3 linked regions of the Ovis aries genome follow. The protein of the gene in region 1 binds, or shares a complex with, the protein of each later gene. Links are inferred from orthologs where the notes say so. Each region holds a gene or a part of one and is shown in the gene's direction. Other genes may lie near its edges.

Evidence for each region. Proteins that work in one complex are often made in the same cells at the same time.
Region 2: the proteins of WDR20 (region 1) and USP12 are in contact, whole or in part, in a crystal structure (PDB 5K1C), measured with the Homo sapiens proteins. The link is inferred for Ovis aries from reciprocal best matches to the Homo sapiens genes WDR20 and USP12. Residues at the interface, in NP_653175.2 of Homo sapiens: Asn41, Ser42, Gly44, Ser45, Arg151, Ser170, Lys259, Ser260, Tyr261, Phe262, Gly263, Glu282, Asp283, Asp284, Leu285, His301, Lys304, Ser305, Trp306, Gln374, Asp375, Thr376, Arg516, Met517, His533, Glu534, Arg535; in NP_872294.2 of Homo sapiens: Glu207, Asn209, Thr210, Ser211, Thr213, His214, Arg217, Arg277, Val279, Phe280, Pro281, Leu282, Glu283, Leu284, Arg285, Phe287, Asp297, Met299, Gln342, Glu345, Tyr348, Thr351, Ser352.
Region 3: the proteins of WDR20 (region 1) and USP46 are in contact, whole or in part, in a crystal structure (PDB 6JLQ), measured with the Homo sapiens proteins. The link is inferred for Ovis aries from reciprocal best matches to the Homo sapiens genes WDR20 and USP46. Residues at the interface, in NP_653175.2 of Homo sapiens: Asn41, Ser42, Gly44, Arg151, Lys259, Tyr261, Phe262, Gly263, Glu282, Asp283, Asp284, Leu285, His301, Lys304, Ser305, Trp306, Gln374, Asp375, Thr376, Leu509, Arg516, Met517, His533, Glu534, Arg535; in NP_073743.2 of Homo sapiens: Asn205, Thr206, Ser207, Thr209, His210, Arg213, Arg273, Val275, Phe276, Pro277, Glu279, Leu280, Arg281, Phe283, Asp293, Met295, Gln338, Glu342, Tyr344, Thr347, Ser348.

Annotation. Positions count from the first base shown.
Region 1 is NC_056071.1:64,614,956-64,619,638, forward strand, and holds the start of WDR20 (WD repeat-containing protein 20), read left to right. Parts: upstream 1-1,506; 5' UTR 1,507-1,528; coding exon 1,529-1,777; intron 1,778-4,683. UniProt on the Homo sapiens protein: Regulator of deubiquitinating complexes. Activates deubiquitinating activity of complexes containing USP12. Anchors at the base of the ubiquitin-contacting loop of USP12 and remotely modulates the catalytic center of the enzyme.
Region 2 is NC_056063.1:32,987,266-32,991,332, forward strand, and holds part of USP12 (ubiquitin carboxyl-terminal hydrolase 12), read left to right. Parts: intron 1-2,471; coding exon 2,472-2,669; intron 2,670-4,067. UniProt on the Homo sapiens protein: Deubiquitinating enzyme that plays various roles in the regulation of the immune response and inflammation.
Region 3 is NC_056059.1:69,023,489-69,027,555, reverse strand, and holds part of USP46 (ubiquitin carboxyl-terminal hydrolase 46), read left to right. Parts: intron 1-760; coding exon 761-841; intron 842-3,246; coding exon 3,247-3,460; intron 3,461-4,067. UniProt on the Homo sapiens protein: Deubiquitinating enzyme that plays a role in behavior, possibly by regulating GABA action. May act by mediating the deubiquitination of GAD1/GAD67.

The DNA of each region.
Region 1 (4,683 bases):
TAGCAGAAAACATAATAACATCAAAACAATTGTAACACAAAATTTTAGGTGTTTTAGGAATCCATTCTTTAAGTAGGGTTTTATTCTAGAGCTTTTCTGCCAACATGCACATCGGATACGGGATGTCAGCGTCAAACGCATTATTACATCAGTGACACCGTCTGCACTGGCATCTGCTTGCTTTGTGATACATAAAATGTTTATGATTTAAACTCCTCTTTACAACTTACCTCCCTCTACTTCTTTTGTGACCCTCCATCTATGATTTGTACTGAGGGAACAGAACATTGTTGGTGTAACAAATGTTGGCCTCGCACTCCAACTCCGCGAAGTCTATTAGAATGTTTATCACTTGAGAAACTCTCTTACTCTAATGCAATATGCTAAGAAACCCAAGGATAAAAGGGTGACGGTTTAATCCGCGTGCCTGCTTTACAATTGAGACCTACTACAGCATATCCTGGAGTAAACCATTCTGCAGATTCCACTTGAGCCTGATAAAAAAATCAAGTCTCCCATTTTCTGGAGAGCTCTTAATAAACTTCGGCGCAAGAGAAGGGAATCTTGCTTCGATTCAGTATCTGGTTCCACAAGTCATTTCCCCGACCCGGCCCGACCCCTCCCCTTTTCTCCAAACACCTGTTGGAGATACACTCAAGAAACAAGCGCGGATACAACCTGCTTTCCTGAAATTAGCCAATGCTCACCACAGATAGGTATGCAGATATTTGACTAGCAAACACAGATGCTACATATCTGTATGTCCTCTCCCCGCCAATCCGTTTAAAAAAAGGGGAAAAAAATAAATAAAGATGAAGCGGCAAGCTGAGGTCCTTCAGTACCTTGTCGGAAACGGACTCTGGGAAGCGCAGAGGGGCTTCCCGACTCGCGCATCCAGACGGTCGCGCGGGGCAGCCTAGCGGAGGCTCAGGACAGGGGGGCCCGCCCCCTGCCAGCCTCGGGGCTCCCCCGCGCCCTCCCCTGGCTCAGAACACTGAGGCTTCCGCGCTTGTTCGCGGCGCCCCACGCGCCGACCGCGACTTGCCGGCTGCCGAAGAGGCTCCCTCCTCAGCCCCTAAAGGTCTCGGGACCTCTCAGGGCAGGGCCCGAGGCAACTGAGGAGGCCGTCCCGAGTTTCCCTCCGCGCCGCCGACCGCAGCCCGGGCGCGGCTTCCGCTAGCCGGTTCAGTCCAGCCAGCCCGTCCGCCCCTCCACCCGCTCGTCGACCCCCGCACGCCCCGCACCAGAACACCTGCGCGGCTCCGAGGTCGCGCGGAGGCGGGGGGAGGAGCCTGCGGACGCCCCGTCGCGTGGAGCGCGCCAGGTGAGCACGCCTGCGCAGTCGGGCCGTAAACAAGCCCGCCCCTTCTCCTCGCCGGCCTCCGCGGGGCCAGCTCGCGGGTGGGAGGGGCCAGAAGGAAGGGGCGGGGGCGTGGGGGGAGGGAGGGAAGAGCGAGAGCCCCGGGACGGCGCCTGCGCAGTGGGCGTGATCCGGGCACTTAGGGCAGGATGAACGCTGCTTTCCAAGATGGCGACGGAGGGAGGAGGGAAGGAGATGAACGAGATTAAGACCCAATTCACCACCCGGGAAGGTCTGTACAAGCTGCTGCCGCACTCGGAGTACAGCCGGCCCAACCGGGTGCCCTTCAACTCGCAGGGCTCTAACCCTGTCCGCGTCTCCTTCGTAAACCTCAACGACCAGTCTGGCAACGGCGACCGCCTCTGCTTCAATGTGGGCCGGGAGCTCTACTTCTATATCTACAAGGGGGTCCGCAAGGTACCGACCGGGGCGCCGGCGGGACTTGGCCCCGGCGTGGGCAGAGGCCGGGGGCAGGGCGGTGACAGCGGGGGGCCGGGGTGGCCGCCGCTCTCACTTTGGAGTGGGCCGGTAACTCCACCGGAGTGCTCCTGAGGAAGGGGGGATTCGGGAGGAGGAGGGCGGCGGGGGCGGTGGCGAGGGGCCGCGGGGTGCGGGGCTCGGCCCGGGAGGCCCCCGGGAGCGTGTGGGGCCGGCTGCCGCCCCTCCGGCAGGGTCTGTCAGGTTTTGACACGGCCGGGGAGCCGGGCCTGCGAGTCCCCGGAAGAGGTGGGGTGGCCGTCTGGTCGCGGCTCGGGCCGCCTCGCCTCCCGGGGAGGGTTGCGAGTCCGGCTCTGAGTGAGAGACCAGGGGCGCCTGGGCGCAGGTCTGTAAGGCGGAACCCGGCCGGGAGGCGGAGGACTCGGTCAGAAATGGACCGGCTCGGCACCAAGGGCCGCCTCACCTGCTGCCGCACCGCCACTCACTAGGAGCCTCTTCGGCTGTTAACACTTGGCCGTTTCCAAAAAAAAGAAAAATCATCCGAGGGAGGCCGGCTGTCACTTGTCTCCGCGGAGGGAACCTTCCTCCTGAGAGATTGTTAAGGTAGGGCTCATCTTGTCCCTTACAGTATGGAAAGGGCTGAGGACCACACTTGGGAGTGGAGGAGATGTTTTCAGTGAACTGAGCTGGTTCCTAGGGATGCTGTATGAGCGTGCCCAGATCCATCCTCGTCCAACAAGTCAGACTGTATGTGCCTAGCAAGGGAGGGTATGCCTTAAAAGCTGCTTCACAAGAACCATTATTCTGGGCGGGCGATTTTAACAGTAATTCTCGCAAGCATGTAATCATCCTCTTAAAGTATCTCTTTGAAAGAAGCAACTTATTAGAACTTTTCTTTCATTGGCTACATAACTGTGTTCTCATTGAGAACTGCTTACTTTCGAGATACGCCATCTGGGAGTTGACTCTTGGAAAAATGAGGAAATTAATGCCCCTGCCGTCCCCGCCAGCACCTGGGCGTGGGAAAAGGTGTTAACAGATTAATTTATAAATGGTCAGTTAGTGTGAAAATAAATTGTATGTATTGAAGGGTGAACGTTTCCCCGGATATACTGTATCCAGAAGCAGTGGGTTTTTGCTTGGTTACAAGATCTAGGAATGTGGCAGTGGTATCTCGGTGGAGCAGGTTGTCTCATTTGTTCCAGGTGAGCCTGCCTGTTAGTGTTTGCGCTAAGTGTACTTCTGTGTTTGAGGTATCCTGTTATAAATTACTGGAGGTAAATCGCTTGACTTTGTTCTCTTGTAGAATTGGAGAAGTCTGAAGTAGTTAGTAGTCTAGGAGTTGAAGTTTTTAGTCCTGCCCTCAACTTTGTCACTGACTTGTTGGGTGACCTTTGACGAGTTACTTAACTTCCATCTGCAGCTCTTTAAAAGAGTATTTCAGTACAGCTGTTGTGATTTTTAGTGTTATGACTATAATGAACTTTAAAGGCCCGAAACATTCAGTAGATGTAAAATACAGTTCAAATAAGTGTCAAGAGCATCTGTCAAACAGGAGCGTTTATCTTAACATTGATGCAGTGACTGAAAGGATCAGCTTTTTCTCTGAAAATAAGTTTAGAATTTTAAGTTATTAAATTGATTTACAAAAAATTTTTTAAGTGCCTAAAAGCTAAATATATTAAGTTACTAGTGTAGACATTACCTTAAAAAATTTTTTTTTTCTTTTAAAGTATACTATTTCTGAAGCATTCTAGTGGCAAGCTGTATCTGTACCTGGTAGCTCTGGTTTGCATCATAAAAATAGGTCTCTTGCCTGGAAGTATCATAATGGTGCCTACTTGTAGTCCTGCTCAATGAAGGATGAATTAGGAGATCTTTTCAAAACTACACAAAAAATTATTTTAAACAAGACAAATCTTAAACATGTAAATTTGCCTTCAGCTGTGTAATTTACTTGAGCACATTAACTTTTCTGTAAAATTTCATTTTCATGTGGTAATATCTTATAGATACATTTGCATTATATGTTGGACATTTAAGCTCTTTTCTGGCCACTGTAATTTTTTTTAAAAAGCATGTCCATGAATGAGTTTGCATTTATTTTTATTTCTGAGTATAAGTGATTGTTTTTATGACTCTGTTTCTGATTTTAAAATATGGCAGATTCTTTTCCTTAATTAAAAACCTTAATTAAAGGTGGATTAAACCTTAATTTAAAAACTTCAGATTTTACTTTTTGGGGTTAGGAGTTATAAATCTGTTTTTGACATTTCGTTGTTTTGACTCTTTAAAAATTTTTTCTTTGGGGCATATAAAGTTTTACAACAGTTAATCAGATCATTTACATAATTTAGAAGATTTAAATTGGATGAATACATTCAACTTAAATCTGACTGGATCTTTTATGTTATTAAAGTATAGTTGGTTTATAGTATAATATTAGTTTCAGGTGTAAGGCGTAGTGATTCAGTATTTTTACAGATGATGCTCCATTAAAAGTATAAGATAATGGCTGTAATTCCCTGTGCCATACAGTATATTCTTGTTTCCTGTTTATTTTATGCATCGTTTGTATCTCTCATCCTGTACCCATAACTCGCTCCTTCCACCTTCCCTCTTCCCTTTGGTAACTGCTAGTTTGTTTTATCTGTGAGTCTGTTTATGTTTTACATAGATGTTTGTTTGTATTATTTTTTAGATTCCACATATAATATGTGATGTCATACAACATTTGTCTCTTTCTGACTTACGTCAACAAGTGTAATATTCCCTAGGTCCATGCACACTGCTGCAAAACTGGGTCTTTTAAAAACCTTAAATTGTGAACTCTGTACTGTCATTCCTGAAAGCAGGGGTGGAGTCCTGGAGAGAGAGAGTAGATG
Region 2 (4,067 bases), on another chromosome or scaffold:
CCAGATGTCCCAGTAATGTCCTTTATAGGAAAAAAGGGTCTAGTCCAGAGGCACACGTTGCATTTACCATTTGTGTCTCTGTCATCTTTTTATACTGGGAGCAGTTCCTTATCAGTCTTTGCTTGACTTTCACTCTCTTGACACTTAAAAATTACAGGTTAGGTATTTTACAGAATGTCCTCCTTTGAGTCCATCTCATGTTTTAATGTAATGAGGTTTAGATTTTGTATTCTGGGCAGGAATCACACAGAGGTGAGGCTGTGTTCTTTTTAAATGGTACACGATTTTGATACGTGTCATGTGTCGGGGCCCCCACGACCGCTCCTGGATTTGATGGTTCCCTAGAAGGACTCATAGGATTCAGCGTCTGTAGTCCTGCTCACAGCTAAGGTTTGTCACAGGGAACAGTGACAGGTCCGATCAGCAAAGGGGAAGCCAAGCCAGCTTCCAAGTGTCCTGTCCCCGTGGAGTCACATGGACACACTTGTTTCTCCAGCATCGAATGTGACAGCATTGTCTCCCAGAGAAGCTCATCACAGACTCGGTGTGGTGCCCGAGATTTACTGGGGGCAGGCCACCTAGGCACTCCCTGCTTGCGTGTGCGTACACGCTCAGTCACGCAGTGTCCGACTCTTTACAGTCCCGTGGACCACAGTCCTCCACACTCCTCTGTCCATGGGGATTCTCCAGGCAAGAATATTGGAGTGGGTTGCTATTCCTCCTCCAGGGGATCTTCCTGACCCAGGGGTCAAACCTGAGTCTCTACGTCTAATGCATCGCAGGGGGATTCTTCACCCGCCAAGCCATCAGGCGTGTACCAAAACTCCAGGCTCCTGCAAGGGAAGCAGGTGTTCAGCATAAACCATATGATCTGCGCAACAAGTTCAGGCACATCAAGACCCTCTTACCAGCTAGGGAACAGCAGGAGTCCCCCCAGATCAAGTTCCCAGATGCCAGCTGAGGGTCAGCCCCACAGCCAGCCTTTCCCAGGATGTCCTGTGACTGCTACCGTTCTCTCTGGTCACTTGACTGAGGTGCTGTCTCCCAGCGTTAAGCTGTGCTTTCTCCCTAGTTGTAACTGATATGCATTTTGTGTGGAGGTATTTTGAGATTATAAATATCCCTGTTTCTCAGTCTCAGTGAGGGCTCAGGGATATTGTATTTGAGGTTATATATTTAATTTCTAGAAATGGAATTATTGAGGAAAAGGACATAAAGACTGTTGGTTCCTGTGGCTGGCTGGTTTTCCAGCAAAGATTGGGTTTTTACATTTCTTTTCATTAGTGTTTTGCACTGGCCAGGTTAGTAAATATTTCTGGGATAATCTGCTGCTCCTCCACATTTAAGATCTGTAGAATGCAGGTTTCGAATAAGGCTATAAAAAAATTTTTTTTCACTTTATTAGAGGCAGTGGCTTAGTAAATTTTTTTTTTAGCATGAGAAGTGTTTTGCTTCACTGAACACATACAGAATTCAGTCCTGCACTGTTTGTCAAGTACCTGCTGTGTGCCAGGCATATTACTGGGTGGTGAAGAAATACAATGAAAGAGATGGTTTCTGTCTGCCCAGAGTCCAGACCCTAGACAGAGAGAGAGACCACAGCCATCTCTGTATTTTGTAGTGTAGCAGACTGTTCCGAGACAGGGTGAGTCTGTAAAGTGCTGGTGGAGGACCGAGGAGAACAGCTGTTTCTGTCGGAAGGGAAAGCGTTGGCGGTGAATTTTGTTAGGAAGAGGCTGCCGTGCGGTGACATCGGGGAGCAGAGATGGCGTGGAGGGGGTCGTCAGGATTGTTGAGGATGAGGCGGCCTGGACTTGACAGGTAGAAACCTCATTCCTGTGTTTCCAGGTTATTGTATTGCCTTTGTGGGATCCGCACAGTCAGAGCTGTTAGTAAGAAGCTGTATCCTGTCTGTGAAACGCCCTGAGTGGCTGGTCTCCATTGCTCTTCTCTCTCTCCTGTTCCCAGTCTGTTCCTGACTTACAGATGAGCAGAACGAATGGATTTCAGTCTCTGCGCACAGCAGCTCTTAGGAACCGGTTTTTCCTCTACCAGACACAGGCGTCGCCTGCAGTCTGCCTGGTCATGAGGGACCTCTGTTTCAGGAGTACAGAGTTCTTAAAGGGCTACACCTCTGTCTGGGAGCCACACGGAGTTCCACGTCATATTATGTGGTTTGGAGATGATGAGGGACAGGGGGCCGTCTTAAGACCATCAGAATGTTGCCCTGCTGATGGTGGAGTGACAGGAGATCGCTGTTCACCCCAGACCATCACAGCATTATGAGTCAGTTCTACCCCAGCACACAAGAAAAGCTTAGAAGAGGCACAGGTAGAGAGAATGCGGAAGTGGGCGGTGCTGGGCTGATAAAACTGACTGTCAGCGGTTATTGAGTCCTGCAGTCTGATAGTTCTTTTAAGGACACGGTGAATGTCTGTTACGAGATTCTGTCTTCATGTTTATCCTGACAGGATGAAAGTGAAAAAGCTGCCCATGATTCTAGCTCTGCATCTGAAAAGATTTAAGTATATGGATCAGCTTCATCGATACACAAAACTTTCTTACCGGGTGGTTTTCCCTTTAGAACTTCGTCTGTTTAACACTTCAGGCGACGCGACCAATCCTGACAGAATGTATGACCTCGTGGCCGTCGTGGTGCACTGTGGAAGGTAACGGGCGTGGGCCATGCAGGCGGGAGGCTTGGGGGCGGGCAGTGCACACAGGACACCCCAGGGCCGCTCAGAGGTGGGCCTGCCAGAGATCCCGTACCCCCGGTGCTCTAGGACCGAGATGAGTTTATTTCAGAATGAGTATTTCAGATCCATTTTACCATCTCCCCCTTAAAGCTTTTATCTGTTAAAATAGTGTGTTATTGCTTGGATCTGATATCTGTTCTTATTATCTAAATAGGAGCTTCTCTCGTAGCTCAGTTGGTAAAGAATCTGCCTGCAGTGCAGGAGTCTCAGGTTCAATTCCTGGGTTGGGACGATCCCATGGGGAAGGGGATGGCAACCCACTCCAGTATTCTTGCCTGGAAAATCCCATGGACAGAGGAGCCTGGTAGGCTACAGTCCATGGGGTTGCAAAGAGTCAGACACAACTTAGTGGCTAAACCACCACCACTGCCATCTAAATATTACTCTGAGAAGTTTTAAGTCCTGTTGGTTTTCTTTTTTGTTTTTCTTGGTTGTTGGTTAAAAAAAAGAAAAAAGATGCTGCTTAAAGAGATTTTATAAAGTGAATTCTTTATTTTTACAAAATAAAGCTGAGACTAGTTGGATATGTTCATCACATTAATAATAATGAAAAATACTTTTAGAAGGCTTTGGAGATAACCTTCAAAGATAAGTTTTCTGATTTTACAAGGCTGTGTGTATGTTTCCTATTGCTAATTTAGTATACTATCTCATCTATAGACCTTAATTTATAAAATAGCTCAAAAAGTTTCTCAGACCACAAGAGCATTGCAGAATCAACATTTATGTTTAGAACATACAGTTTTCATTGACTGTTTACAATTTCCTGTATTAATTTTATTATATATATATACACACACACACATACATACTTTGGCTGTACTGTACAGCTTGTGGGATCTTAGTTCCCTTACCAGGGATTGAACCAGGGCCTAGCCAGTAGAAGTGCAAGTCCTAACCACTGGACCACCAAGAAATTCCCTTCTTGTAATAATTTTAAAACAGGACACTCCTCCATTTCCCCTGGTGTTTGGAAACTTGTACCAACAGTGTATTGTATCCCAGAGAACGAGAACGTTAGCTGTCCCTCCCTCCCACCTTCCTGCTCAGAACATGGTCAAGATAGCTGGGAGGGGGGGGGTCCACGTCTGTCACGGTCCTTAACCTCCATGGTCTGCGTCAGCCCATTTCCTGTCATTTATCCTCAGCAGTAATCTCGCTTTTCCATTTTTGGAGCATTCTGTTTCTAAAGTAAGTAAAGACATCTGAACAGAGGAAAACAGTATCAGATAACTTACAGAACCCTACTGTAATGATCAGACTGGAGGTTCATGTTAGCATTAAGGTTTTTTTTTTAAGTTTAAGATGTTT
Region 3 (4,067 bases), on another chromosome or scaffold:
GCTTACGATTTGATACACTTGGGAACAGTTAGGTTTTAAATGTTTTAAATCTGTGTCTCTATTATTTATAATGTTTCCTTGGACATTTTGCTTTCTCAATAAGGCCTTCCCTGACCCACCCTATTTAAAGCTGCAACAATCTACCCTTCACACCTCCTCACTCCATGCCTTCCCTCCTCCCCCTACTCCCTGGAGTCCCTACCCTCATTTCTAGCTTTTTTTTTTCTCCACTGCACTTACGACATTCTGATGTACTGTCCAGTATACTTGCTTTTTCTTTCAGACTGCCTTTGTCCACTGTTCTGTTGTCAGAGCCTAGAACAGTGCCTGGCATGTGGTGGGTGCACAGTAGATAAATCTTTATCAGAAAAACACCATGACTTTGAAATTGGTGGTATGATTCTATACACCACTGAGTAGCATAAAATATACTCCAGGTATCTGAGCTTAGAACATTTTATTTGGAAGTTCTGAGTGGCAGTTTGCTCATTACCTGTCCTAAACCTGCTTTCCTAATGGAAGGTCATTGAAGCTGGGTAGAACAGATTTGAGGGACGATGAAGTTGGGTGAGGACAGGAATAGGCTGACCTCATTACCTCATCTACGGTTTACTTCCGACACCTGTTTTCAGCATGATCATCTCCAGACTCTGTAGCCACTAGGGGAAATGTTGGTCTCAATAGCGGGCTCTCTCAAGTATCCTTTTGCTTTCTTGTCTGTTTTACACGCAACAGAACTTTTGCTGTTTTTCTCTTTCAGGGCACCAATGCCTCTGCTCTGGAAAAAGACATTGGTCCAGAGCAGTTTCCAATCAATGAACACTACTTCGGATTGGTCAATGTAAGTATTTTGAAATGTACTGTCTTAATCAGGTGTTTTAGCATTCTTGAAGCAATGTCACTGCCATTTTCATCATTACCAAGTTTTAAATAATTGGTCATACTCCTTGGTTACCATAGGTGGCAAATACTAGAGTAGGGGATATTTAGTCCAATTTTTGGAAGTATGAGTTGCCCCAGAAGAGGAGGTTTAATTAGTGCATTATTAGGTCAGATTCTCATTTTCCCCCCTGTGCTTTAAAGGATTTCCTTTGCACACTAACTTTCAGAGCAATATTATTGGCCTTTGTAGCAAAATCTGCTTTTGTGTGTCCTCCCTTTACCATCTGAATGTGCTCGTCAGATTGTATACATCAGCTCAACCAGAGCTCATCACCAGTGGTTGCTTCGTGGCATAATTTGGTATCTGAAGCATGGGTTGGAAGTGGGGGGAGACTGGGGCCAGTTTATCTCTAAATCCCTTGGCCTCATTTCACTTGTGCTCAGCAACGGTCCCCTTGTATATAGCCAGACTTGTTCGGCACTGTGTCCTGGATAAGTTCATGATAGCTGGGTAGTAAGGCAATATTACCCACCACCCTCATGAGCTTTCTTCTCCAGCTGATCCTTTCTCTCTGGGGTGGAGGATGTAAATAACATCAGCTGCTACCTCACTAGCACCAGGTTTTCTAGAACAACTGCTCTGAGCATGGTCTGCCAGAACTCAGGTGTCATAGGTCATAGTCTCTACTGAGTGTTCTGAGTGAATGCCGCTGTGGACTAATGGAGTGGACATTGTCTCTGAAGTAGTACAGACCTAATCCAGAGTCTGCCTGTGCTGCTCCCTAGCTGTGTGATCTTGGGCAAGTCACTTGCCCTCTCTGAGCTTCCATTTCCCCTTCTGTGAAATGGGTCACAGCGGTTTCTACACTTTGGCTTATAGTGAAGGATCCGTGAGAGCTCCTACTGAAGGTCCTGACATGAGGCTGAGGCACAGTGACGCTCGGTAAATGTTAGTTCCTTTTCTTTCCCAGGAGCCAAGTGTTACTAAAGGGTGTCTGGCTAAAGGTGAGGTACTGAGTAAGGAAAAGAATGGGAGGAGGAGGCTAAAGTACTGGCATATAGGGCACTGTGTTGATGGAATACTGACTTAGAATTTTAATGCAGCGTTTTAGGCATTGGGCAAAGGCCTCTTGCTTAAGCTCTATGAGGATAGTTATTTAAGTTGAGGGAGTTCTGCCTTGGCCAGGGAAAAGATGGATGCAGACTATGGAGGAATAAAGAACTAAAGCCATCTCCTAGCCTGTGGAAGCATTGTGAGATCTAAACCTAATAATAGTTTTGTACATGTTCACTTTGAATGGTAGTTCATGAAAGTTACAGCTTCTCTTTAAAAAGGGGTTTGTCTCATCACGTAATTGTGTCAAAGTAGATTAAAATGTATAAAAATAGGAAGTGTTCTATCAGCATACGAAGAAATGTCCCGTTAAGGATGGCCGTGCATCTGCCTCACTCTTGGGCAGATGACACACAAGCCAGCTACCAGGCTTGAGAAGGTGTTCATGTTCCATTTCAATCTTACACAGCATTTTCTAATCTGCTATTAATCTTCTAATTGTCCTAGATGGTTTCCCTCTTTATTTTAGCACATATGAGCAACTCTAAAATGAACGTCTCCGCTATGTGTTCTCCCATAGAACTGGTTATCCAGTCAGTTGAAAACCAGTGAGATGATGACTTTTTGCCTCGTTAAATCATAACCGTGGCTTTTGAGAAGTGCAGCGTGTCACTCTGTGGGTCCTGTTACGGTGGCAGGAGACCAGGACCTATGTGCTATTGTATTGAGACAGTGGCTACTTTGGCAGAAACGAGATTGCTTTGGAGAAAGTGAGGCGATTAGTCTGAAGCCTGTGGCAGGAGTGCCAAACCCTTGAAAGAGAGAAACTTAAAACAAGTCCCCACTCAGTTAAGGCTGTTTCAGCTGAGCAAGCGGTTCCTAGTAGCTGGATTTCTTTCTGATTGAGGTTTTTATTGTCCCTGTCATACGAGTTTTGATGTGTTGCAGTGTGACGTCTTTTGTGTCGCCAGCTGCTTTTCTATGTCTCCATATCATGTTGATTTTTTTTTTTCTTCACCCTCTCTTTTGAGCACCAGAAAGTCTCATTAGATTTTTAAAAACCAGGGCCGAGTGTCCCTTATCATTTTATAGAGACTTTTATAGCCTAGCGAGCTCTCCAGCTTGTGTATACTAGGATTCATTTCCCTGGCGATCAGCTAGTCACTGGTGTTCGGCCTGGCTTGCTGGTCTACCACGGCATGCAGCCCGTGACACAGGGGATCTGGGCCAGTTCACACCAGGGCGGCCCCTCCCTCTCCTCGCTGCTGCAGAGAACCCTGATTTAAATCGGCCCTCTTGTCCTTTGGCAGTTCGGAAACACATGCTACTGTAACTCCGTTCTCCAAGCCCTGTACTTCTGCCGGCCGTTCCGGGAGAATGTGCTGGCGTACAAGGCCCAGCAAAAGAAGAAAGAGAACTTGTTGACATGCCTGGCAGACCTTTTCCACAGCATCGCCACGCAGAAGAAGAAGGTCGGCGTGATCCCACCAAAGAAGTTCATTTCGAGGCTGAGAAAAGAAAATGGTGAGTAACATGGAGACGAATGTGTTTCAGATCTGAGATAAGGAGAATCAACAGGTCTGTGTAACCTCAAAATGAATCCCCCCCCTCTTTTTTTTTTAAATGGGAAAATAGTATGGCCAACTACTCAGGTTTTAAATACAAGATATTTCTTCTTTTCCACCCAGTAAAAATTGGATTCAAAAAATATACTTAAAAATTCTGATTGGAACTTCCCTAGTGGTTCAGTGGTTAAGACTCCACAGTTGCAGTGCAGGGGCTGTGGGTTCCATCTCTGGTCAGGGAATTAAGATCCCACATGCCACATGGCCAAAAAAAAAAAAGTAATTAATCCTTCCAAAATGGAATGATCTTTTTATTTGCTCCACATTCGGAGGACTTTTTTCTGGGTAGGATCATTATAAGAGGAAAAATTGCCCAAGGCAGGACACTGACTGGAATAAATAGGTTGATGTAGTAATTGAATAAAATAGTACTGTCTTATAAACTTGTCATAAGTGATTAAACTAAATGCACATTATCTAATTAGAGCCTCTGCTGTTTTAAAAATAATACCTCTGATTTTTATATGTCTAAAAGAGTTGAAGGATAGCAAATTGATGTTTTTCTA